Linked DNA regions of Oryza sativa Japonica Group. The protein of the gene in region 1 interacts with the protein of each later gene in a pairwise test. Links are inferred from orthologs where the notes say so. Each region holds a gene or a part of one and is shown on either strand. Other genes may lie near its edges.

What was found. The genes of interacting proteins can lie anywhere in the genome.
Region 2: the proteins of zinc finger protein CONSTANS-LIKE 14 (region 1) and B-box zinc finger protein 32 interact in binary tests that used the Arabidopsis thaliana proteins (3 or more experiments, as listed by UniProt). The link is inferred for Oryza sativa Japonica Group from reciprocal best matches to the Arabidopsis thaliana genes BBX13 and BBX32.

The regions. Positions count from the first base shown.
Region 1 is NC_089042.1:26,940,097-26,945,147, forward strand, and holds the start of zinc finger protein CONSTANS-LIKE 14, read right to left. Parts: upstream 3,613-5,051; 5' UTR 3,500-3,612; coding exon 2,660-3,499; intron 1,473-2,659; coding exon 1,245-1,472; intron 257-1,244; coding exon 1-256.
Region 2 is NC_089040.1:28,116,284-28,120,119, reverse strand, and holds B-box zinc finger protein 32, read right to left. Parts: upstream 1,891-3,836; 5' UTR 1,809-1,890; coding exon 1,083-1,808; 3' UTR 836-1,082; downstream 1-835.

The DNA of each region.
Region 1 (5,051 bases):
ACCGCTGCATCGCGCTGTCCCTGTTCTGCGCGAGCGTCTCGCTGTCGATCTTGATGGTACATGGCCTCTGATCGGCTCCGGTAGGGACGACGGTCTGATCACAGAAGGAAATCTCCTTGGGGAGAGCCGATCCTCTGTCGTTCGAAGAGCCCCCCAATGCCCCTGAAGCAGCAGGTACATGGCTTGTGGAAGTTGTCGGTCCATCGATCGTCGAAGCGCATGAGCTCGCCTTCCGTTTGTTGCTCCTGGTGCTTGGCTGCAAGGAAAGTTCAAGCAGAGAACATGAGTAACTGAACTGAAGATACTCCTCTGGTCCTATATACTACCATCACAAATGCAGAATTTTACAGGGTAGCAAACAGACAGCAATTTTTTTTAGGATAGCCCCAGATAGTGGTTTGGTACTTCCTACAATGACACTTACCCTACAATGACACCAACCAAGAAAAACGTGGTGGGGCTTTCTATGATACAACAAAATTGGCCTTTCAATGTTTCGCAACGAAACAAGATGCGTCCATGACTTGGTGGACCAAAGGAGGAGGAAACAAGGATCTGTACGGTGGTCCATAAATATCGCGGTGATTGAAACAAGCTAAAAGTGTTCACACCATATGGGACCATGGTGCCAACTTATACAAGAATAGCCCCCCTTTAAAAAGATAAGATCGAATTAGGAACATAACACTGGAGCCATTGCAGAAGTTAGTGGCGCATCAACATCAGCGAAAGCTCTGCCATGGGGTCAACTGGGAAGTTAACAGGTAACAACTAAAAGAGTGTCCATGCCACACACAGATGGAGTACCAAATGTCCACGTGAGCATGCACATTTTAAGAAGGAAAAGGCAAAAAGTTCCTTTTCAGAAAGTCCATCAGCTTCTTCAAGCAAACCTGTTGTTAGTGATTTGCTTAAATCGATACCTTGGGCTTTGTCATAGATTATTAGTATGAAGTGTAAGGCTTGGTAACAAATAAGAGGATCCTATACAGATAGATAAGGTGTTCTAACACTACTTTTATCCTTGCTGTTGGAAGTTACAGTGCTAATCAAAAGATACCAAAATTGCAAGAATTATGAGATTCATCAGATGCATGGATTGATGCCACTTCTTCTCTAGCACAAGGCAGTATGAGAATACCTTGCTTGGCACCACTAAGCTAGGTGAATTGTGTGCTAGGTGCGCTGGATAAGCACAGTCAGCAAGCATATTTTACGTTGGAAAAAAGGGGATTATGGCTTACATTTTTCGATGACAGCTGACAGACATTAGTCGACATGATATCTTCGGCAGCTGCAAAATATCTTGAGTCATAAATATCTTCCAGATCCTTCGTTGTCCCAGAAGAAATCTCCTTGAGCATGTCATTATAACTCTTAATCATAAAGCCTCCATTGTTTGAGCCAAATCCAACTTCAAGTGCAGAGTTCTCATTGTGATCCCTTGATTTTCCCAAATTAAAATCCCATATCTGTCACGCCGATAACAAGAAGAGAACCGTAAGTTTTAGGCCATGAAATGAAGCTCATTCCAGGGTAAACTAGAAGAAGCATTGAAATATTTAGGAGATGGATTAGCAAGGGTGATTAGTTGAAAAACATTCTTTCCTTTGATGACAGTTCTACTAGTATATATATGCCTACGGAAAGTTAATTATTTGCTTGATTAAAGCTAGACAGTCTGTAGCCAAAAGTCAGGTAAAGCTCATTGCATCAACACACCATGATTCAAGAGCCTATTTGCACACCCCAGGTCATAGGATCTATCTCATATCTGAAGGGGCAAATACTCTGAAGAATGCAGTACAGCAGTAGTATGAAATATCTACATACAATGCACTTTCCATATTGTGATAGCAACATCTCCTCAGAAAGTTCTGTCTAACTTGCATTATTGAAAAGGAAAAAACACCCATCCTCATCAGCCCAATTTGCACATTCAATGCCCCTAAAACAATGCTACCCAGTCCATGATACTTTACTTTTTTGCAGTAAGAGTCCATGAAAGTTTATTGTGCCTGCAAGCAATCTCTGAAAGAACCGGTTCATAAATCGTGCATGATGGCAACAAGGATAAATTTATGTCTACTCAAAGTAATAGAATCATTCTGTTATGTGGTTGAAAAAAAACTAGGAAATAGAACTAGACAGGACACGAAAACCACATGAAAAACCAGTATCATGTACAAAAGCACAGAGATGTAAAATTTCAATAACTCGCACCTATAGTGTTCATCACAAAACCACAGTGGTAGTTCTCTTGAAAGGTTCAAACATCCAATTCTTTTACCCATCCCCTCATCCACAAGAGATTAGAGATCATAACCGCATCTCTCAATCTGAATGATCTGCACAACTGAGCACGAACTACACAAGTGATGGGTCCAACACCACCATTCGTACAGTTTGTTCTATTGCTAGATGTGAACCAATAAGATCCTAACACCACGTGATCTTAATGAGTGTGAAGCTACAAATAATTCGACTAATTAAGCAATGCAACTAACATTGCTCACACTAATCAAACATTGAACAGGCCAGAAATGCAACAATTAACCATTACCCCAAAAACAAAAATCAAACATTGAATATACAGCGAAGATGCAATCGTAATTCAGAAGATGTGTGCTTATTCAAAAGAAATTCTGCTTCTTTTTACCTGGGTTGGTGGCACTGATGGCGCGGTGCTCTCCCACAGAACATTTTCATCTTCGTCTCCAACACGGTTGTTTTCCATGAGCTCGGTGCAGTTGGCCGGCGCCATCATGAGCAGTGAAGTGTACGGCAGCGGCGCCGCCGTCGCAGCAGCATGAGGCAACGGCGGGGGAGCTTGCTTTTCCTGCAGGCGGCCGCTCGCCGCGGCGGAGGTCCGGCGAGGCGTGCGGGGGCTCAGATCCGAGTGCGGCTGCGTGTGCGGGTGCGCCGTCTCGGCCTCCCGGCGCGCCATCTCGGCGAGCTGGTGGCCGAGCGCCTCCCCCTTGAGTCGCCGCCCGCCGCCGGCCACCACCACCTCGGGCGGGTCGCATGGCACGTAGAGGTCGCGCAGCACGGGGTCGACGGCGAGCATGGAGTAGTCGAGCGCCGAGAAGAACGCGTCGTCGGCCTCCTCCTCCTCGCCGCCGCAGCCGCCGGGGAGGTCGAGCCCCCACGACGCGGCGAGCTCGGCGGCGGCGGGGCACCCGGAGAACCCCTCGACGGGCACCCGCAAGGCCGCGCCGTCGTCGCCGCCGCACCCGGTGTCGCAGTCCGCGCACAGGAACGCCGGCGCCGAGGCGGAGGCGACGCGCGCGGCGGCCGGCCTGGCGGCGCAGGCGGCGCAGAGCGGGGCGCGGACGTGCTTCCGCGAGAGCGCGTTGGCGGCGTGCACGTGGCGGTCGCAGGCGACGCACAGCCTCGCGGCGTCCGCCCTGCAGTGCAGCGCCGCCGCCGCCTCCCCGCAGTAGTCGCAAGGCCACTGCTGCTGCTGCCCCCTCCCTCCTCCTCCACCACCATCCTTCATCTCGCAAACCGAATCAAACCAAACCAAATCGAAGCGCGAGGAGGAGGAGGAAGGAGGCGGGGGTCTACGACGACTTTTGAGCTCGGAAGCAATGCAATGCAGGAATGAGGAGGAGGGAGAAGGCAGCGAGGTGGTGGAGAAGAGAAGACGGCGAGAATGAGATGAGATCCGGTGCGGAGCGCGCGAACACGGGACACGGATTCGGACTCGTTCCCGCGCGTCGAGGTGGAGGGAGGGTGGGGCCCGCTTGTCAGTGGGCCAGGGGTGTCGGGAAATATCTCTCCGGCTTTAGCTGAGCTGGTGGGGGTGACGTGGTCGGGCCCACCAGAATGCGGCGCTAATTGATTTTTCGGATGAATTTTATCATAATTCTGGACTTGAAAACATTTTTCGTTTAGAGGCTGTTACAAAACGGGATGCCGTTGTAACAGGATAGACATATTAACTATTTTCTTGTATGAGTATCACATGTATCAGGTCTTAGGTATCACAGATATAAGGGTGTCCCGTTCCAACAGGATACCGTTGTTTAGGTTTTCTGTTTCGTTTAAGGATAGAATTAGGAACATGTCCTCGTATATAATATGCTTAACAAAAGTCGATAGATGACTGTTGGACTTTATAAGGAACGAGGGCATATTTTTGTAATGAATTTCAAAACGTTTAAGAATCAGTATCCTTCCCAACATTTTGATTGATTGCATGTTTCGTTATATTATGTTTTATTTTTTGACTTTTAAATTATCCCTATAATAAGGATCTTTTTTTACTTGCTATATATATTGGCACATATGGGTGCGATATTTTTTACCGGAATAAAAATTTTCAAAAAATACCGAAACATTTTTTGGACATATTGGAGTGTATTGGGTGCGTCCGTGTCGAAAAATCACCCCGTAACTCGCGTGACGAACTTTTATCAATTAATACTAATATTATCATATGTATACATTTGGAATGTAAAAAATAGAAAACCTTTTCAAATGTCACCAGAAGTAAAGCTACTACTCTTCCTGTAAAATTCTAATAAAATTCCCATGCACCAATTAATTAATTAGACTACCTTAATTATGGCATTTACTCTAATATGAAGTAATAAAATACATATAATGATACCACGAGTTTGTGATTAAGATATACTCCTCCGTTTTCAGCATGTAAGATTACTTGGTTTATTCAAAATTAAATTTCTTTAAGTTTCATCAAGTTTAAGGAGCAACATTTTTACACCAAACAAATATATAATGAAAATATATTCAATGGTGGATTTCATAAAATTAATTTGGTATAATAGGTATACTGTTTTTTTCATACACTTGGTTAAACTTGAAGAAATTCGATTTATATCAAAACCGAAGCATGAAAAAACAGATGGAATATAGGAGCAGAAACAAGGTGAGATTGATCGATAAGAGATGCCATCATTATACTAGTACAAAATTGTCAATGCCGTGTGAATTGGATTGCAGGAGTTGCTACAAGATGTAATTGGTCATTTGTCATGGTTCAACGTCCTAACATAAAAGTTATAAAGTGATAGATTAGTACGACA
Region 2 (3,836 bases), on another chromosome or scaffold:
ATACACTTGTGCAGGTAACAACTAATAATATCTCTGCAGCAAACCTGTTTCTCTGAGAAGCATTAAGCAGTAGGACAATCCACTTATCTTGGAGGATACTTGAATCAGATGTATACGTGTGAATGATCGAGAATTCAAGATATGTTCTAGTTTAGTTTAGGGTTGGAAATTGGTTTGAGGTTGCATATTTGTACTCAGCGAGGACGATGAGCAGCCTCTTCTTCCATCTTACTGACGCAATGAACGAGAAAGCCGGTGCTTCGGTGGTACGGAAACTCTGAAAGTGATAGTCTGAACTTGATCAAGTCTTCATCAAGTCTTCAAGATCAGCACATTCACCCAGAAAACACATACTCCTAGTACAGTACATTTCAACTACTAATAAGTAAATACTGCTGGAGATCCAATTCATGTTTAGTCATTGCTTAATCAGTACATATTCGTGTATTGTGTATTCCTTTATGTGAAAAAGATTTCTAGGAGCTGGAAGTGTGGGCAAACTCCTCTTTTAACTTCCAAGTCATAAACCCTATATCAATCCATCATGCTCTGATATCCAATACAGGAGGCAAATATAAAAATGTCAAATCTCAAATTACACAAGGTAGTGCAAACTGTAAGCTTCTGAATTAATCTCAAATTAAAGTCATCCATTGCTAACTTCTGCATGATGACATAAGCCACTAAGGCTGCATGCTGATCTCTGACTCCACAACATTAAACTTTGCAAACAGTTTATGACTTTCTGTTATTCTGTGTGCATGTGCTATGATCCACAACTCCAGATATTTTCCCCCACACGACCAAACAGCATGTGAATGATGTGAGCCACAAATTTGTTCACAAGTCTAATCAAATCACCAATAATTAATTAGACCAATGTATGGTTCCCTATAGCACTATCATCTAATCACATATGTGAAGTTACAGCATTGGTAGCCACCTCTTTTTTTTCAAACAGAAAAGGAAAGAAAATCTACTACACCAATATTCTTGAGAGGCTAGTCACGAGATTTAGTTCTACTTAACACTCTTTGTAATGGGAAAAGAAAAAGAGATCAAACAAAGCCTCTGCATAAGTATCATTTCTGACGAGCTGTGTCACTGACATGTGGGCCACCCAAGGCGTTGGGCGCTTCAGAACACGAGCACTCGTCCCAGCCCTCCTCGTTGTCCGCGGCGGCGCGCCGCCTTGCGCGCGCGCGGGCCATCGACGACGCCACCGCCGTGAGCAGCCTCGCCGGCACGTGCGCGCACGCCTCCAGCCGCCGCAGCGCGTCGGCATGGCCGGCGCCGGAGACGCCGGAGACGCGGTGGGCCGCCACCTCCCACCACAGCGCGGCCGCCATGGCGACGCGGAGCGGGACGCGCGCGGCGGCGACGTCCCCGCCGCACGCCCGGAGCGCGCGCCCGGCCGCCGCGGCGCGCCGCCGCGCCGCCCCCGCCGCGAGGCCCATCCGCTTGCCCCACCCCTCGAGAACCACCTCCGCGCGGGGCCGCGCCGCTGCCCTCGGCCTCCTCCTCCTCCCCCGCCTCGCCGCCGCCGACGCCGCCACGTCGGAGTCGGCCGTCGACACGCACGACGTGCTCGACGCCGCCGACGCCCCGGACTCATACCCCTCCTCCTCCTCCACCTCCACCACCACCACCGCCCCGGCCGCCACCCGCCTCCGGTGGTGCCGCGACGCGAGGAAGTTCGCCCCGTGCACCTTGGCGTCGCACGCCGCGCACAGGAACGCCGCGTCCGCCTCGCAGTGCACCGCCGCCGCCGCGCCACAGAGCGCGCACCGCTCCGCCTCGCCACCCATCCCCTCACCTCACCACACGACACGAGCTCTCTCTCTCTCTCTCTCTCTCTCTCCGATCGCGTCGCGCGCCGTGACGATGCCTAACCACCCCACGTGGCGTGGCGCGCGTATTTAAAGCGCGCGACGAGCTTCAGCTCACCGCCTCACACACAAACACACAAAAAAGCAGCGAATTTTCTCTCGATCACACGTGCAGCAGCGGCGTACATGGAATGATGGGAAACGGAATGTGACGACGAAAATCTTTCGTAAGAGCAAGTTTAATAGGATAGCCAGCTACTAGCTCGAAATCATCTACGGTCAATTTATACAATAGTTATATACAACACTACTAATACCTGATCTCACCTATCACACACAAACTGCGTCTTTAAAGTCCGTGCTATATCTAGTTACAAATATGTAGTATGCTATTTTTCTCTCTAGTCTTTTATCTTTTTAAAATATATTTAGAGTTGGTTTATAGTGTGCTGTTGTACCTGCTCTCTAACGAAACAGGATTCGCAACGTCGCTGTGGCTGTCACACACACATAAACGTACACCGTTGGATCGGTGGATCGATGGGTGGTCGACACTTGGAGGGATTTCCATGGAGGAGTTGGGATACTTTATTAGCAGGATCAAATCAGGCTCACACATTGACACAAGTGGTTATGGGGGGCTAATGGCCTAAAATTGGTTAATTGGAGCCGCTCGTTGGGAGATCGTAGAGGCGTTGGTGGCCACACAAACCTCGTATCGTCCCGGGTCGAATTCAGCGCCCACCGGCCGGTCACTTCCTCCCCTGGTCGTGGTTTTGTTTGTTGTCACGATTGGTTATTGTTTCTGGTGTTTAATTCGTCTTCTTCTTTCGCCTGTCCTGGATGGGAGCTGATCGATGGAATTGCTGTTTCCTTTCGGTTGGGGTTGGATTTGTTTAATTCCTAGTTGGGGGCATGGATTTATTTGTTTGAAATTTCCATCTGCCACTTGTGAGTTTGTTTAGCGTTTGACGATTCTAGACGCACGGTGTTATATATTAGGATCAAATTAAAAAATCCTTTCCATCCCCTTCTCGTCGCACTGCAAATTGCGGTTTAGTTTAGTAAAATATTGCTGTGGCTAGAGAGAACGATATGCTTGGGGTTCAGCTTGTTGCTGACGAGCTGTTAAAAGATTTGGGCGATCGAATCTAGTCCCCTCGTTTGTTTATGCCAACACGAACGTCGTACGTTGCCACCACTGGTACTACTCGTCATCCTCTCCTGGCCTTGCAATTTTAATATGGTCACAATCGTAGAATATTATATACTCGTGGTATGAGAAGGAGATCGATCCGTATTGGTTGATGACCACATTGTGGGTATAAATCGCTGTGACTATCTCGTGGTTACGTCGCGGTAAAGCAACCCACCATCAACGGAGAGGAAAATATCCTAGTCCACTTTCGTTGAGGGGTGGAGATAGGCGACACCGCGCCACGCTTCGAGAGACCAATTGTAAATTGTTGATTAGTACTTAAAAAGAAGTGTTAGAATCGTCCTAGCCACCGTTTGGATTTAGACACGGCGCTTACCCAAAACATCTGAGGATGCTGAGCCCCACTACAATGCTATTTCCTGATACTTGAATATAATCTAAACCGTTAATATCATTTAATCAAAAAGTTTAAATTTGTTTGTACTACTATCCCTGCTAATGAGAGTATAAATATAAAGGGCATTATGTAAAAAATAGTTATGGAAAGGTATAATCAGCATTTAGCAGTGGCTAAAACTTCCAACTTTTTTTTTACGGAATATAAGCGATACCAGCAAAATGAATGACCACATATCGATCTAGAAAGAAAAAAAGTATATGACAAAGTTATCCCTAATTAGTCTTAATAAATTACTTCCTCCATTTCAGGCTATAAAACGTTTTGACTTTAGTTAAAATCAAACTAATTCAAGTTTGACTAATTTTATAGACAAATATAGTAATATTTATAATACCAAATTAGTTTTATTAAATCAATAATTGAATATATTTTCATAATAATTTGTCTT